3 linked regions of the Arabidopsis thaliana genome follow. The protein of the gene in region 1 interacts with the protein of each later gene in a pairwise test. Each region holds a gene or a part of one and is shown on either strand. Other genes may lie near its edges.

What was found.
Region 2: the proteins of AT5G12320 (region 1) and AT2G31610 interact in a two-hybrid assay, tested with the Arabidopsis thaliana proteins (one large-scale study listed by BioGRID).
Region 3: the proteins of AT5G12320 (region 1) and AT3G53870 interact in a two-hybrid assay, tested with the Arabidopsis thaliana proteins (one large-scale study listed by BioGRID).

The regions. Positions count from the first base shown.
Region 1 is NC_003076.8:3,980,454-3,985,964, reverse strand, and holds AT5G12320 (ankyrin repeat family protein), read right to left. Parts: upstream 3,389-5,511; 5' UTR 3,204-3,388; coding exon 3,153-3,203; intron 3,046-3,152; coding exon 2,958-3,045; intron 2,613-2,957; coding exon 2,548-2,612; intron 2,445-2,547; coding exon 2,376-2,444; intron 2,303-2,375; coding exon 2,253-2,302; intron 2,178-2,252; coding exon 2,066-2,177; 3' UTR 1,853-2,065; downstream 1-1,852. Other genes in the region: AT5G12310 (RING/U-box superfamily protein), read left to right, coding at 3,872-3,937, 4,263-4,393, 4,757-4,861, 5,018-5,480.
Region 2 is NC_003071.7:13,447,790-13,453,744, reverse strand, and holds AT2G31610 (Ribosomal protein S3 family protein), read right to left. Parts: upstream 3,505-5,955; 5' UTR 3,362-3,504; coding exon 3,332-3,361; intron 3,249-3,331; coding exon 3,101-3,248; intron 3,021-3,100; coding exon 2,849-3,020; intron 2,568-2,848; coding exon 2,381-2,567; intron 2,292-2,380; coding exon 2,076-2,291; 3' UTR 1,763-2,075; downstream 1-1,762. Other genes in the region: AT2G31620 (Receptor-like protein kinase-related family protein), read left to right, coding at 837-1,157, 1,308-1,754; AT2G31600 (INO80 complex subunit D-like protein), read left to right, coding at 3,662-4,302, 4,940-5,204; AT2G31590 (uncharacterized protein), read left to right, coding at 5,612-5,708, 5,833-5,955.
Region 3 is NC_003074.8:19,948,394-19,954,075, reverse strand, and holds AT3G53870 (Ribosomal protein S3 family protein), read right to left. Parts: upstream 2,653-5,682; 5' UTR 2,530-2,652; coding exon 2,500-2,529; intron 2,408-2,499; coding exon 2,260-2,407; intron 2,185-2,259; coding exon 2,013-2,184; intron 1,779-2,012; coding exon 1,592-1,778; intron 1,507-1,591; coding exon 1,294-1,506; 3' UTR 1,058-1,293; downstream 1-1,057. Other genes in the region: AKR4C11 (NAD(P)-linked oxidoreductase superfamily protein), read right to left, coding at 71-147, 482-532, 719-838; AT3G53860 (INO80 complex subunit D-like protein), read left to right, coding at 2,806-3,386, 3,962-4,226; AT3G53850 (Uncharacterized protein family (UPF0497)), read left to right, coding at 5,082-5,212, 5,384-5,516, 5,614-5,682.

The sequences.
Region 1 (5,511 bases):
GTGTAGACATATGGTTTTCCGTTGGTGGCTATAATGGGGAACATCATCACGCATTGGCAATCCATACGAGTTTAAAGATATTGAGAATAAGTATATGAGAAAAATATATTGTTTTAAGAAGAAGATATGTAAACATTCAAGTTTATTACCATATACTTTGTACCAATTATTAGAACAATACTAATGAGATATCATCATATCTAAAAGACTCGTATAATTCGTTACTTATTATGATAAATACTATTAAAGTCGTTGCCATCCAGTAGAATCATTACACGGAAACATAGTATAATCATAACATAAAACATGTGATTAACATAGTATAATCATAGCACAAAACATTATTGATTAGTTATTAAACAATCAAATTGTTAGCGTTCACGACAATTATGTTGGATCTAGTGAGATTTTTCTTCATTGTTTTATATCTAGAAACAATCAAATTCTTACATCTTGAGTTTGTATTTTTCCAAATCTGAATCCCTCGCATTCAAATTGATTTTATTTTCGTTGAGGTAAAATATTATGTGAGAAAAAAGAGTGGGGAATATGTTGACGAAAAACCATTTAAATAAAATTATCTATATATATCACATCTAACATAAAGAGACATACAGCGTCAGTCTGCATCAGAACGAGTCTATGCCGAAAGGTTTAAGAAATGATGTTTTGCCAACTGTGAAAACGTTTTCAAATGACTTTTATATATAGTTTTAATATCCAAAACACTATGAAAAAAACTATTCCAAGAAAGTGAAAGGCATGTGCGAAAACAACGTGAACGTGAAGGCCAAAAAGAAAATGCAAGTTAAGGTGCATGGATTTGGTAAAGAGAGAGAGATTCATTCCCCCTTCGGACTAAACCAAAATTAGTAATTTACAACTTTTACTTTACCTATATTTGCTAGTATTAATTAATTTAACCGAAGCAATGGTGCAATGCATAGATGTTAAAAACAAAAGAAGGAATGGGGCACCGAAAGATTACCACTTTTATATGATTCCATGGTTCGTACAACTACTAGTCTGTCCAACAAACCAACAGTTCAACAAACTAGAGAATGATAAAATTAAATCTGTTTGGTTTTAACTAACAAAGTTCGTACATGGATGGATCAAGATTTGCAGTTTAGTGGTTTGTAGTATTAGTATTGTAGATGCCATTTCAAATTCGCATAATGCATATTGTTTGGCAAAATAATTTGTATGCAAACCAAAGGAAAATGATATACCGACTTTTACCATGTAGGTTTAAGGAGAATCTATGTATGATAATTTTACATTCATTTACATCACAATGTCTTTCTTAATAACTCAGGAAGTACCAATTTTCTTACATTACCGAGAATGCAAAAGGTAATTATCCATCTGAACCATTGAAAACAAACAGATTGGGAGTAACATTCCCAAGAACCACAATTATAACAAGAAAACTTACAAGCTTGTCTAGCTATTGCATATGCACCAAAGTTTTTCTATCGATTTCTAGAAGATAAGGATGGTCTAAGATGGTTTCTTTGATTACTTAGGATCTCATTTGTGTACGTTCGCAATCTTTGCCATTGGGTTGGCTCACCAAAAGCTTGAACCAGTGAAGACAATGTCTTGTTGAGATAATTTGGGTTTTGAGCTAGTTCACTTTGATAGTGATTCTATACATCACAGTGTCCTTGCTCAAGTTAGTGTATACAACGTCTTGTTTGGATAATTTGGGTTTTGAGCTTGTTCACTTAGATAGTGATTCTATCTATCTAATTTAATGCATGACTTAGCCAGTTCTCCACGGCTGGCTACCACCGTCATCCATCATTTATCTCAAACTAGTTAATTCAAAACAGAAATCAAATTCAAATGAAACCAAAACCCAAACTGGTCCAGCCCAAAACTAATTGAACAAGTTTGGGGTTATGGATATTGCAACCAAAGATTTTGAATTCATATGATTCCAGTTCTAACAACTAGACTAGGTATCAAATCAACAATCCCACAATACAAAAACTCATCTTTAATTCAGAGAGACAGAGAGAAAACATTTAGGATGCTGAGGATGAAGTTGTCTGAAAAGTCATGTCATACTGGTATTTTCAAGTTCCATTTGGGCAACAGTTGTGTTAATAGCATCTATAATCTCCATCTTCTCCGCACCAATAGCTTCATCCATTGGAGTTCTCTCGTACCTACAAAATTTCAAGCTTAAACTGGTTCAGCTTAGTTTCTTGGATAGATTTAGAGGAAAGATTCAAGAGACAAACCGATTCAAAAGACTTAGACTTGCTCCAGCCAAGATCAATCTCTTTACCACCTGTGAGTAGCTTTCCACTTAGTAAAACCGGCGAAACAAAACATGTTTAATCGCGGACATGAGTAACGGTTACCTCGACATGGCCATTCAAGCATGCCCAATGTAGAGGAGCATTGTTCTCATCGTTAAGAGCGTTGATATCCTGCTCAGGAAAACAAAGCCTCAATAATCTCTCTTTTATTCATGTTCAATCGTTTCCATCGATAGAACACCGAGAATTTAGCAAGGGGTTGTTGTTATCTTACCACTCCTTCACTGATAAGATACTCCACTATAGTCATATGTCCATTCGCTGCGGCCATATGCAGGGCTTTGATGACAAACAAAAGATAAAAGAAACAATGTTCCAAGAGTTAACAATACATTTCAAACTCCTTAATCTGAGTAACCGAACATACAAGGATAAGAGTAAGAACACCAACATATTCCTAACCCCAAAAACAGTAACAAATGATGAAATAAGCCAAGGGTACAATTTTTACGCATCAGTTACTCCAAAATTTCATAAATCTAGACGAGTAATTCACTCACTACACACTACAAGTATCTCAGCAAGAGTTTTAAGAATCTCAATTGACAGTGGCATTAAAGAAAAAGTGAAGCTATTAACTGGAAAAATTGAAACTTGAGAACAAACACAGAATGTAGAAGAAACCTGTTCGGCCTTGTGAATCACGAGAGTGAAGAGAGAGACCATCAGAGGCCAAGGTTCTGAGATCATCAATATCATTGTATCTAGCAGCCTGTCAATTCAAAGAAGTAAACTTTAGCTCACCCAATTAAAAGTGGTGGGCATGAATCGATTGGAAGAGAACAACATGGATTTAGTGATGAAGAGAAGGAGACAGACCTCCAGCAAGTCGTCGACTTTCTCTGCAACTCCGTTTGTCTCTGCTCCCATCCTCCACCGGCCAATACCAATTTCAGTCTGAGGGTTTCTGGTTTCACTTGGTTTTTGTCCGATTCCTTTTTTTTTTTGTGTTTGGTTTTGCTATAAATACAGTATTTATGTAATTAAAGTAAAATTATGGAGTACCAACTAAAAATGATAAAGTGATGTCATTTTTATGAAAACCAATTTTCATGAATTTTGAATGCATATAAAAATATGAAAAAAGGTCAAATATAATTCATATTTTAGTTATTGTACTCTTTATCTACTTCATATCTAAATAAAATAAATAAATAAAACATTAAAGTATACATTTTTTGAGCACCGCATAAATATTAATTTTATTTTGGGTCGCCGCTTGATTTTCTGGTGGGGAAGTCGTAATCGTTAAATTAGGGTCTTCCCTTCTTCTTCTTCTACATCTCCTCAGCCGTTTCCTACGGAGGATTCCGATCGATCCCTTTTCTCTTTTTTTTTTTTTCTTCTGGTCACCGAATCATTGTCATACCCCACTTTGAGCTCACAACTCTTCTTCCTCAGATTGCTTGATTAGGGTTTTCTTCTGCTTGCCGAATTGATTTCCAAGGAACAACTTTTTATTTATTTTCATCACCTAATCTTTCGTTTTCAGATTCCGAGTATCCAAATAATATTTTTATATTTTCTCTTTCGCCGCCATGAGTTCCTCGATCCAGATCGTTGTTGAGGAGAAGCAAGTGGATGTTTTGCCTCTTCAAGATCAGGTTTTGTTTTTGTATTGTCCCTTATGAATCATTGAAATTAATCTGCGATATCTAAAATGGAAGATGAAGTTTCTGTTTTGATTTGTGGTTGATTCCCTCCATCTTTAGCTCTTGAATTCTGAATTGATCTATGAAATGTTCTGAGAAATTAGGGAATTTGTGAATGTTGCTTCTGATATCTCGTTGTGTGTGTAATGTTGTACTTGGGATGGCTTCAATTCGGGATCTTTGCTTGGATTTACGTCTTTTGTAGTTTGGTTGTTACCTGTGGAGTGTCTGATGTTGAAACTCTGTCTTATGTACACGAATTTGTTTCTGTCTTTAGGATGAAAAGAAGACTCCACAAGTGTTCAATGAGCTGAGTTTCGGGAACCATGGGGGCTGTTGTGCAATTTGCTTGGATACTATACCTCTTCAAGAAACAGCTATGGTTAAAGGCTGTGAGCATGCTTACTGGTACGTGTGGTCGATTTTTGTTTTTTTCAGAGTATTTTGTTTTGTTGCTAGTGGAGTGTATATCCTTTTTTATATGAGGAATGATACTGGTTTGGTTATAAGTGATCTGTTTATCAATATTTAGTCTGATACTGTGGAAGTTACCATTTGTGGTTTAAGGCATTTGTTTTGTTAGATCAGTTTTAGCTCTCATCTCAGGTTTCTGAACGATCGACTTTGGCCTTGCTTTAAACCTGTTATAACGTTTTTCTGTTTCTTTCGTTTGAACAGAATAAGTATGTTTGATTAGAAATGAAATAGGATATATACTGACTTTTGTCTTTTCATTTTTAAGAGGAATGATTCATTTCTATCTATATATAGTGTGACGTGCATACTCCGTTGGGCAAGTTACAAGGAGAAACCTACCTGCCCACAATGTAAGCTTCCATTTGATTTTCTCAATGTCCACCGCGCTCTCGATGGAAGGTAAAATTTCCATCCTTGTTTACATTTGGCTCCATTTTAAACTCCATTTACTTGACTGGCGGTGTGCCTTTATTGCTTTAGTTTACTCTTGGCTTTTACATCATTTTCTGTACTTCTTCCTTTGTAACTAATTTTGTCTGTTATATATCATTGCAGCGTTGAAGATTTCATGTTCGAGGAGAGTGTATGCCTCCTCCTGAGGGCATCATGGTTCCAGCCACTGGAAGCAGTGGAGCGGGTTTCAGACAATGACAATTTCAACTATGATTTCGACATTCCACCTGAGTATGAGGAGGAGGATGAGGACGACGATGACCTTGACGAGTTTTATATGCAAGGTTCAAGTCTTCGATTAGGAAACCGGAGGTGGGGTGACAATGGATTTGTGAGGGCAGGCCGCCAAGAAGCAAGGCCAGTCCAACATAAGAACCGAGGTGGCCAGGCTTCTGGCTCTGAACCCGCCTCTTCATCCTCATGTGAGCCAAAGGAGAAGACTAGCAGTGCCATAACAGGAAGGCGTGCAAAGAGGGCAATGAAGCGTGAAGCTGCAAACAAAGCTGCGGAAGCAGTAGCAGCTGCAAAGCATGAGGCCCTTTTGGTTAGGTTGGGAAGGAAGTGACTGTGGTTGTATCTCTGTAATTACATCAACC
Region 2 (5,955 bases), on another chromosome or scaffold:
CAGTTTTTCGAATTAATCTGAAACTTGTGAAATGTGTTTGTTCAGCTTGTCTCCACATTAATTCATCAGAGCCATCTATGTTATCTAACTCTCTTGGTTCAACACATCATTTGGAACTATGACCACTGTCCACTGCCTTCGACTATATCCAACTCCACACACGGTACATTCTTAAATCTTCTTAATAAAGATTGAATGCCACCTAGTTTGGAAGCATGAAACCCGCCTTAAAAAGAAAAAGGATTGTTAAAGTTGTTGTTGTTTGGAAAACAGATATTATTAGGTGACAAGAGTGAGCAAAACGTATGCAAATTTGGGGGAGAAATATGTTTCAATCCAGGCTCCTTTTCAACTGATAGCACCTTCGTAGCTTATCGACCTTCCACTCAAGAAGTCGAACTCTCTGCTCTGTGATCAGATAAAAAGCCATTAGCTTAAAACATAACTTCATGTCTTCTTCTTTGCTTCTCTGTTTTCTTCTTATCATCTCCATCATGATGTCTATATTAAACCAAAATTAGTCACAATCATCATAAAATCAAGTATATCACCATAAGCTCCACTATACATTTGGCTGGTACGTTATTTTTGATGTATATTGATTTTCATGGAGGCATATAGCTAACGTGTAACAAATTTGAAATTTTAATGTAGAGTAAATTCAGATTTTAAAAGTTTCAAAACTTTTCAACTTTGACCTTTTCATGGGTCCTTCTTTTCCCTCGCCGTAAATACCAAGTCTCACACCCAAACACTCCTCTCTCTTGTCATTTAAAAGACTAGAGTCATTCTTTTCTACAAACTGAAATGAGCAAATATAAAAACACTCTAACACAATGTTTTCTTCCTCTGTATCCATCTCTATCTTGGTCGTGGTGGCCATGCAATTCTCTTTTATCCACAATGTTTTGTCCCTAAATCAGACCAATTCGTATCTGCAACACATATGCATCAACAGTGAAGGAAAATACAAGGCAAAGAATTCATACGAGAGCAGACTCAAAGATCATCTCGACAGTATGTCTAACATTCTAGACTACGGTTTCATCCACGGTGTTGGTGGTGCGGATTCTAGTACCTACTACATCAAGGCCCAATGTCGGGGAGATGCCTCCGAATCCAAGTGCCGCTCTTGCCTCTTTACCGCCTTCTCTGGGGTAACGTCATTACAATATTATCGGTTAGCTGTCCCATATACTTACATATATATATATATAAATGCATGCATACATTAGTTTTAGTTATATCTTAGCATTTCTTAGGAAATATGTCCCAACATATTTATATATATTGTAAATATGTGACAGATTCTTAGGAGATGTCCGAACAACAGAGGGAGAATAATATGGTACGACAACTGTTTTCTCTACATTTCCGAGATATATACCTACGAGAAGATTGATTTCAAGCACTATTTGTATTTGCACAATGCCAAAGATGTGAGCGGCAATAAAAAGTTGTTCAACAAGAACACAAAGGCTCTCCTAGATAAGCTCAAGGAGAAAGCAATTCGTAAAGAACAAGAGCCTTACACAAGAGACTACATGTATGCAGCGGGGGAGGAAAGTCTCGGGACGACGAAATTGTATGGGATGATGCAGTGTACACAAGACTTATCAGTTAAAAATTGCAGTGTGTGTTTGGATTCGATTATTGCAAAGCTTCCCAGATGCTGCAACGGTAAACAAGGAGGAAGAGTTTTGAATCCGAGTTGTACTTTTAGGTACGAGCTCTATCCTTTTGTAAAACCGTAAAAGATAATGAGAGCTCCAAACATTTTAGTTTTTGTTATTTTCGAATAAAGTGTTCTGAGCAAAATGATAATTCAAAGTAACAACATCAAATACCAGGCATTGTTGTCGTCATTCTTTTTCTTATTACGAGTCTTAAGAACAAAAAAATCATGGAACTAAAAGCATTCAACCTCCAGAAAACTTGACATAGGTTAAGAAACAACATGAGAAAAAACTTGTCTGCTTGGAGGATATAAGAGATACGACTAGAGAGTGTCAAAAGTAGAAAAGTTATAACAAAAAGAACAAAATCCCATGGAGTAATAGTAAAAAAGGTCTTCTCTAGGCCACTGGAGGAATCATCTCAGGGTAATCTACGGTTGTGAGTGGAGCTTCTTGCACAAGAGTAACTGGAGCAGCAGCCTGAGCAGGTGCAGAGTAGACAACATCATCTTTAGGAGCATGAATGATCACAACATCAGGCAATGGTGTCTTTGGTCCTGATTTGCCCGTAGGGTCCCAGTCAAGCATGATCTTCACCTTGATTCCCAACACCCCCTGCAAATACGGATTGAACCAACAAGATTAGACAAAGCCGGTATACTTACTCACTAAATGGTAGATAAGAGACTCATTAGAAAGCATACCTGTCTGAGCAAAACATGTCTCACTGCAGCATCGATGTATTCCTTAGTTGGTTGACCAGATGAAACCATGTAACCATCCTTGAACTTCATGGACTTAGCACGTGCAGCACGGAGCTTTCCACTCACGATGACCTCACATCCCTTAGCTCCACTCTCCATAACAAATCTCAAAACACCATAACAGGCCCTGTATATCAAATATACCATTGCAATATTAAGGATGAGAAGTTCAAGTGAAAAAAGAGATGCAATAGCCTTGTCGACACATTATGTATCATCAGTGTGTTCAGTAGATAGAAACATAACTATTACACAAAATCTATAAAGAGTGCGCATTTACAGAAACCCCACTGAGAAATATAATTACAGTTGTATCCTATACATTTCACTATTAGGACCAAGTAAGCTAAACAATAACAACAGCAATTGAGAGAGAATACACAAAAACATACTAGAGAAATGTCGTACCTGCGAACAGCAAGACCACCGAGAAGCTTGTAACGTAGAGACTCAGCCTGAGCAATGGCACAGAGACCTCTGTTGTTAACCTTCTCAGCATAGAGCTCAACACTGTCAACTGGAAACTTGAATCTCTTCTGGACAAGAGATGTCAATTCCCTAATTCTCCTCCCCTTCTCACCTAAAACCCAACATTTTCGATATCAGATCTCGAAACACATTCAAAATCGAAAGAGAGAAGAAATGATCAAACAAACATACCAAGAACATTCTGAGTACGAGTAGCTCTGATGATAATCTCAGTCCTCATTGGAGTAACCCTAACCTCAACACCAGAGTAACCATCCTCTGCTAGCTCTCTTGTGAGAACCTCATTCAATTCAGCGTAGAATACACCATCCGCTACAAACTACAAACACAGTAACCAGATCAGTTCCAATACGATACAGCTAGAGAAGTCCACTGAAAACAAAAAATGAAATCACAATTCACCTTTCTCTTCTTGCTGATTTGAGTCGCCATACTTGTGGATGTGAAAATCAGCCGATCTCTGAAACCCTAAATGTTGAGACGAAGAGAATCGGTAAGCTCGTGTTCGTTATCAGATATGATTTTAGTATTTATATTGACCTAATTCAGAAACTTAGGTCTCACATCCAATTGAGTTTGGGCCTATTTGTTGAATATGTCAGCCCAATGGACATTTTATGGGCTTTAATATATTTTAAAATTTAAGTACTAATATTATTTTTTAAAAATTAATAATTTCATTCCCGACAAGAACATCTGATTTTGAAGCTCTGTCATTTTCCGACGACGGCAATGGCGTCAGCTTCCAAGAACATTCAGCAAAACCCTTTCTCCTCGAAACCACCACGGCCTCCGTATTCCTCCGGCGCTGCATCAACAACCGCAGTGGCTTCCACCTCAGCCGAGCCCCTAATTCGAAACTCTACCTTAAATCCTAACCCTAGCACCAGCGGCTTACCGTCGACATCGAATTCACCGATTACGATGTCACAAGAAGATGAAATCCTCGCACGCTCCAGTCACATAACCCGGTCGGAGCTTCTCAAACGCCGATCACACAACCTGAAGCAGCTGGCCAAGTGTTATAGAGACAATTATTGGGCTTTAATGGAGGATGTCAAGGCACAACACAGGGATTATTGGTGGAAGTATGGGATTAGTCAGTTTAAAGACGAAAATAATCAATCGAATAAGAGACGGAGGCTTGGTCAAGAGGGAGATATCGGAGATGGTGGTGATGCTGTTGAAGGTAGTGGAGACAATGTTACTAACAATGATGGTGTTAAGAGTGATCAGTATGCGAATAGTAATTGTGGGAGTTGTATGTATGGATGCAAAGCTAAAGCTATGGCGCTTACGAAATACTGTCAATTGCATATTCTCAAGGATAGTAAGCAGAAGCTCTACACTGGTTGCACAAACGTCATTAAACGGTTTGTTTCACTTTCCCTTTATTTGGTTTTAAAATTCTCGTATAAACCAAAGTAATTGATGCTTCAAGTTGTGTTCTTTGCATATTATAGTTGGTGAAGATGTTGTAGTGATGATGAATTGAAACTGCAAAGCTGTTTTGTGTTATGTAGTGAGCCAAGAGATTGTTTCTCTTTTTTTTTCAAGTTTGCAGAAAGGATTTGGGATTGACACTTGACTTTTTTTCAAAGTTTTTCATAGGGTTTGGGAGAAGTCTTAGCTTTGGACATCGAGATAGTGATCGTCGGTAATCATTTATAGATTCAGTAGTTGCCTTGTGTTAAAATATTGCTCTATGTGCTTTGTTGTTCTGGTTGATACACATAACTGACGCAGATGCTTGAAGTTGTCTGTTTTGATGTGTATTTGTAAAATAGTCAGGATATGAGTATTAGCATAACTATATCACCCTTTGAAAATGTATTTGTGTTAGAATAGTCCCATTGTGGTAGTATTAAAACATAAACCAAGTTTCAGATTTGAGTTTTTACAACCTAGATTTCATATATAGGTAAGTTTGTATGCTGGTTTGTAATTAGCATATAATGATAATTTAAGCAATTCTCACCTAACTCTGCATTGTTTCCATTGTACATTCAGAGCCCCAGCAGGACCATTACTTTGTGGAAAACCAACACTTGCGTCGACTGTTCCTGCACTGTGTAATATACACTTCCAGAAAGCCCAAAAGCATGTGGCTAAAGCTTTAAAGGATGCTGGTCATAATGTCTCTTCAACAAGCAAGCCTCCCCCAAAGCTCCATGTTATAGTAGCTGCGTTTGTGCATCATATTCAAGCGAAACGAAAAAATCCACAGAAGGAGTGTAAACTTAAAAGTGTAGTAAAAGAAGAAAATACAAGCTGAGTTGAGCTGTTAGCGTTGCCAGAAGTTATTTTTGTGTATGTCCCAGAAGGGAAAAGGTGAGGATCTCTGCCTTACTATATCATTCTAAGAAGTGACATAAAACGTATTATGTTGCGCTCTTAATCGTCTACAGATTTTGTTACAGTGTAGGTATCGGATGTTTATCTGCCCTGAGCTATTAAGAGAGGTTTTGTTACAGTGTCCGGTAGGGTATAGTAGTTTAGATAGTGGTAGTTTATTAGGCTTAATAAGAAGATAACAGATCCATAAGCACAAAAACTAGTGTGTTGGAAGTTGGAACTCATTCTAACATTTGGAGATGTCCATTTCAGTTTAGTTGCAATTTTGTTCATTTCTAAAATTTACTTGTGAAAAGCGTATGCAAAATCGAAATGGTCTAATGGCTAATGGGAGACTCAGGCAACGATGCTTTGCAATTGACAAATTGTATTTTCGAAATTATGGGTGGCCAAAACTTGGCATACTTCGATTTTTGGCTATCCGGTTTAGAATTTTTCCGAACGTTTTAATTTAGGAAACTAATTTCAAGAGGAACCGGAATAGTCACAACCAAAAGTAGCGACCGGATACTAAAAAAGTAAAAAGGAACCAAATTTGGCCGGTTTAGATGTAATCAGGTTAGCTGCTGCTACTCCCTACTTCTCATCTTCAAGAACTGCAGCCTTCCAGCCTTACACTCATCCTACTACTCAAAGTGGTATTGGCAGACTTCAATCCTCTGTTGCTGCGC
Region 3 (5,682 bases), on another chromosome or scaffold:
CTTAAGCAAACGAGGGAAACTGAAAATGCATAAAAATGATAGAGATGCAGAAACTTCATGAACAAAATACCAGATTTTTGATGTGATGAACAGCTTCTCACGCTTCACTACGCCATCATCAAACAACTTCTTCAGAACTTTCCCAATCTGCAGGTTAAAAAAAGCTTTCAATTTCTCCATCAAGAAAAACAAAAAGCCACATTTCAAATGAACTTGTAAACAGTCTATAACAAATAACTCCATTAATCCTACATAACTTAAAGCTAGTTTAAGAAAAAGATACACAAGACAATGTGTGCAATTGTCATTCCTAAATATAAATTGGTTAACCTTAGTAAGAATTACATAAAACAGCCAATCGAGTAAGAACGATCATACTATATACTGTTCTATATAAAGGCAAATCAAGTAACGAGCCGTCAAAAGATGAACTATATGAAGCAAACTATGGAAGATACAGATTCGGATCGGTGAATTTTACCTCAATTTCATTGCCATATCTTGAAGCACAATCAATATGCTGATATCCAATCTGCAGAAAACGAAATGATTATTAAGTTCTTCTGCTACTGAAACGAATTTCCAAATCAATCCGTAAATCCCAAGATCAACCAATATTGAGGGAAAAACCAAACTATGTAAGGATCAGAACATCTAATCAAAGATCTCTAAGGATCAGTCAAATGAGAAACCATGAGACGGAAAATCACAGAAGAACCTTCACAGCGGCGGCGACGGCGTCTCCAACGACGCCAGGAGCAGCTTGCCATGTCCCGAGACCAACCGATGGGATCTTTGCTCCGGTGTTGAGTTGGAAGAATCCGATTTCGTCCGCCATTGTCAGAGCTTTAGAAGTGAGACTTAGATCTCGAGAACCTTTTACGAAAGACGGAGGAGGTTTGTGTCGACGGAGCGGGAAAATCGTCGGAGTTTTATAACAACAGACGGTTAGTATTCAAACACGTGGATATAACTAAACGCAAATACTTGTGTTTTCATATTTCATGTGATGAGAGTAATTAGTAATTAGTAATTACGATTAGTTAATTCGATGGATGTACCAAAATTTGGACAAACTGGTCTTGTAATATTACGAATTAATTCAGAATAATTTGCCAAAGAGAGAATGATTTATGAAACTAAAAAGGGCTTTTTCAACAATGGAAACTTGAGATAATTTTCGAATAAGAACAGAGGAAACGTGTCTGATTCGAAGATACGAGAAGCTATAATCTGTCAAAAGAGCAAGAACAGTTGAAAACAAAATCACATCGACTAGTACAAAGGATTCTTTTAGGCGACTGGGATCATCGCAGGGTAATCTACGGCTGTGAGTGGTGCATCTGCTACGAGAGCAGCCGGGGCAGCAACCTGAGCAGGTGCATAGATGGCCTCTTCTTCTTTAGGAGAATGAATGATCACAACATCAGGCAATGGTGTCTTTGGTCCTGATATGCCCTTAGGGTCCCAATCAAGCATAACCTTCACCTTGATTCCCAACACACCCTACATATTCGGTTTAACAACACTTTAATTAGACGTTGTTGATTTTTTACTTAACTCTAATAAGAACAACTCAGACGAAACTCACTTGTCTAAGCAAAACATGTCTCACTGCAGAGTCTATGTATTCCTTAGTTGGTTGACCAGATGACACCATGTAGCCATCTTTGAACTTCATAGACTTGGCTCTGGCAGCACGAAGCTTTCCACTCACGATAACCTCGCATCCCTTAGCTCCACTCTCCATAACAAACCTCAACACACCATAGCAAGCCCTATACAACATATAACCATTGCATGAGAACTTAAAGTCATTACACTTAGAAGCTAGACAATACCTATTTGAAACCATACAGAGTCTATAAGAACAATTACTCTATACTAAACATACAACTATAACGATCGGTGAATGCTTATATACACTAGTAACCTATCCAAATCAGTCTCTAATGATAAACTAAACTGATCAAACAAAGTAACATAGCAAACGAACTAGAGAAATGTCGTACCTACGAACAGCGAGACCACCAAGAAGCTTGTAACGTAAAGACTCAGCCTGAGCGATGGCACAGAGACCTCTGTTGTTAACCTTCTCGGCATAAAGCTCAACACTGTCAACTGGAAACTTGAATCTCTTCTGAACAAGGGAAGTCAATTCCCTAATTCTCCTCCCCTTCTCACCTGAAATACAATCAAATTTTACAGTCACTACCGTATAATAGAAGAAATGATTAAGCTCGAAGATCAAAAACATACCGAGAACATTCTGAGTACGTGTAGCTCTGATGATAATCTCAGTCCTCATAGGAGTAACCCTAACCTCAACACCAGAGTAACCATCCTCTGCTAGCTCTCTTGTAAGAACCTCATTCAATTCAGCGTAGAACACACCGTCCGCTACAAACTACAAAATCAAAATCTCAACACAGTTACCAAAACAGTTCCAATACGATAAATCCATTGAAAGAACAAAATGAACAGAATCACACAATTCACCTTTCTCTTCTTGCTGATCTGAGTCGTCATGTTTGCAAATGTGAGAATCTGCCTATATCTGAAACCCTAAAAATGAGCGGCGTAATCTCGAAAGAGATGCTATTAGTACTTATACTTGACCTAATTCAGAAAATCAGGTTTCACATCCAATTTCCTTTGGGCCTATTTGTTGAATAATTTGGCCCATACATTGATAAAATAGTTAAATAATTGGTTTGGGCCCATGGATGTTTTCAATCAAGTAATTAAGAGAAAAAAAAATCTCGCATTTTGAATCTTCTCTGTCATCATTTTCCGGCGACGACAATGGCGTCAGCTGCCAAGAACACTGAGCAAAACCCTTTCTCCTTGAAACCCCCAAGACCTCCGTCTTCCTCCAACGCTGCATCTTCCACCGCTGTGGCTTCCACTTCAGTTGAACCCCAAATTCGGAACCCTAAACCTAGCACAAACGTCTTACCATCGACCTCGAATTCACCGATTACGATGTTACAAGAAGATGAAATCCTCGCAAGCTCTAGTCACCTCACACGCCCAGAGCTTCTCCGACGCCGAGCAGACAACCTAAAGCAGCTGGCCAAGTGTTATAAAAACCATTATTGGGCTTTAATGGAGGATCTCAAGGCGCAACACAGGGATTATTGGTGTAAGTATGGGGTTAGTCAGTTTAAAGACGAACAAAATCAATCGAATAAGAGACGGAGGCTTGATCCAGAAGGTAGTGGAGATAAGGGTAATGATGGTGATCAGTATGCAAACAGCAATTCCGGGTTCTGTATGTATGGATGCAAAGCTAAAGCTATGGCGCTTACCAAATACTGTCAATTGCATATTCTCAAGGATAGTAAGCAGAAGCTCTACACTGGTTGCACAAACGTCATCAACAGGTTTGCTTCAAGTTGTGTTCTTTTATATTGTATAGTCGGTTTAAGATGTTGTAGTGATGATGAATTGAAACTGCAAAGCAATGTTTGTGCCAAGAAATAGTTTCTTTCTTCTTTGAGCCTGCGGAAAGGTTTTAGGATTGAGACTTTGCTCTGTTTCAAAGATTTCCGTAGGGATTGGGAGAAAATTTTAGCTTTGGTAACCGTATATAGATTCGGTACTTTGACTTGTTTCATAACCTTGATTGATGTGCTGCGTTGATATACATAAGTGACAAAGATGTCTCTATTAAGGTATCTTTGCAAACGAGGTAGGGTTATGAGTATTATTAGCATTATTATGTCATCTTTGAAAATGTGTTCCAACTGAACATTGAGATGAGCTCTTTGAAAATGTAAGTGACTTGGAATACAACATTAACCTGGTTTCAGATTGATACACTGTTATTATCAGATTCGGTTTGTTACAATCCAGATTTCATAGATATGTACTTTTTCATGCTGGTTTGTAATTAGCACATGATGATTATTTGAGCGGTTCTCTACTAACTCTGCATTTGTTTGCTTTGTACATTCAGATCTCCAGCAGGACCATTACTTTGTGGAAAACCAACACTAGCATCGACTGTTCCTGTACTGTGTAACGTGCACTACCAGAAAGCACAGAAGAATGTTGCCAAAGCTTTAAAAGATGCTGGTCACAATGTCTCTTCAACAAGCAAGCCTCCCCCAAAGCTCCATGTTATAGTAGCTGCATTTGTGCATCACATTCAAGCACAAAGAAAAAATCCACATAAGGAGGGTAAACTTAAAAGTGTAGTAAAGGAAGAAATGACAAGCTGAGTCAAGCCGCGTTCCCAGAAATAATATATTGGCTTACTATATCTTCTAGAGATCCATCTCTTTCAGTTCTTGTGAGTAGATTTGACTAGCGATGGATTTGTTACAGTGTTGGTATCGGATCTTTTATCAGCACTGAGCTATTAAGAACAGGTTTTGGTACAATGTAGGGTAGCTTAAGATAGGTCTAATTACAGTGGAGTTATTGAGATGATGATTCCACTGTTTGTAAAGACTTGATAAGATGATGATATTTGATCCATAAGCACAAACACTTAACTTGTGTTGGAACTCAATTTAACTCTGTTTTGTTGCAATTTTGATCAATTTTACGAGTTACTACGAAAACTTATGTAATGGTCTAATAGCCACATAGAGACAGGCAAAAAGGCATTGCATTTGCATACACATTTTTAGAACTCAAAAATACAACAAATAATACTTCAGATTCTTAACGACCAAATACAATCGCTAAAAAAAAAAAAAGACAAAAAAAAAAAAAAAAAGTTAGTTTGTGCTGCCACGTAGGATGCTTATCTCACTTATCTCAGTCCACTAAAAAGCAAAGCAAGAAAAAGAGAATGTCAAAGGAGAAACAAGGAAGAAGCTTAGCTTATAATCGAATCTAAGCCGTTTCGGGAAATTCTGTTTGTAGGTGACAAAATCCTCTTATAGGGTTATTCTTAGCTATGAATTTCCTCTGCAATTTCTTTTTTTCCCCGCCAAAATTTCTCCTGAAGCAAATGTAGCTTTTTACTTGCTGAACTAGGGTTTTGTTCGATTTTGTTCCTCTTTCCTCGCTGATTTTGTCGGAATTTCTGGGTTTGGGAAGAGAAATTGGAGTCGTTATTGATTGAAATGAAGAAGCTTTTAGGAGGTCCGGGAACTGTGTGTGGTCTGTTACTGAGAATCGGACAATGTGCTTCAGCTGCTGCTTCAATCGGCGTTATGGTCTCTGCTAAAGAGTTCTCTGTTCACACTGCTTTTTGGTACGGTTTCGCTTTCTTCAAGTTTTGATTTGTTTCCTTTAACCTTGTTTTGTTCGTTTAGTTGTCGGATTTAGTAGAAATGGTAGTGGAATTTCTGCAAGCAATTTTGGTGTTTATTAGTAGTAGTACAAGTCTCGTTGATGTTGATTATGATTTTGGGGTTGGTTTCAGCTACTTGATTGCGTCAATGGGTCTTCAATTGTTGTGGAGCTTTGGGCTAGCATGTCTTGATGTTTATGCTCTCAGGGGAAAGAAAGATCTCCAAAACCCTATCTTGGTTAGCTTATTCGTCGTTGGTGATTGGGTATGCAACACCACATTTTTATGGCTTTGCTACATTAAATTCAGTGTTCTTGATATGATTTTTTAAAGGATTGAGAATTGTTTTTCTTGTTTTGCAGGTGACGGCAATGTTATCTCTTGCAGCTGCATGTTCATCAGCAGGAGTTGTAGTCTTGTATGAAAAAGAT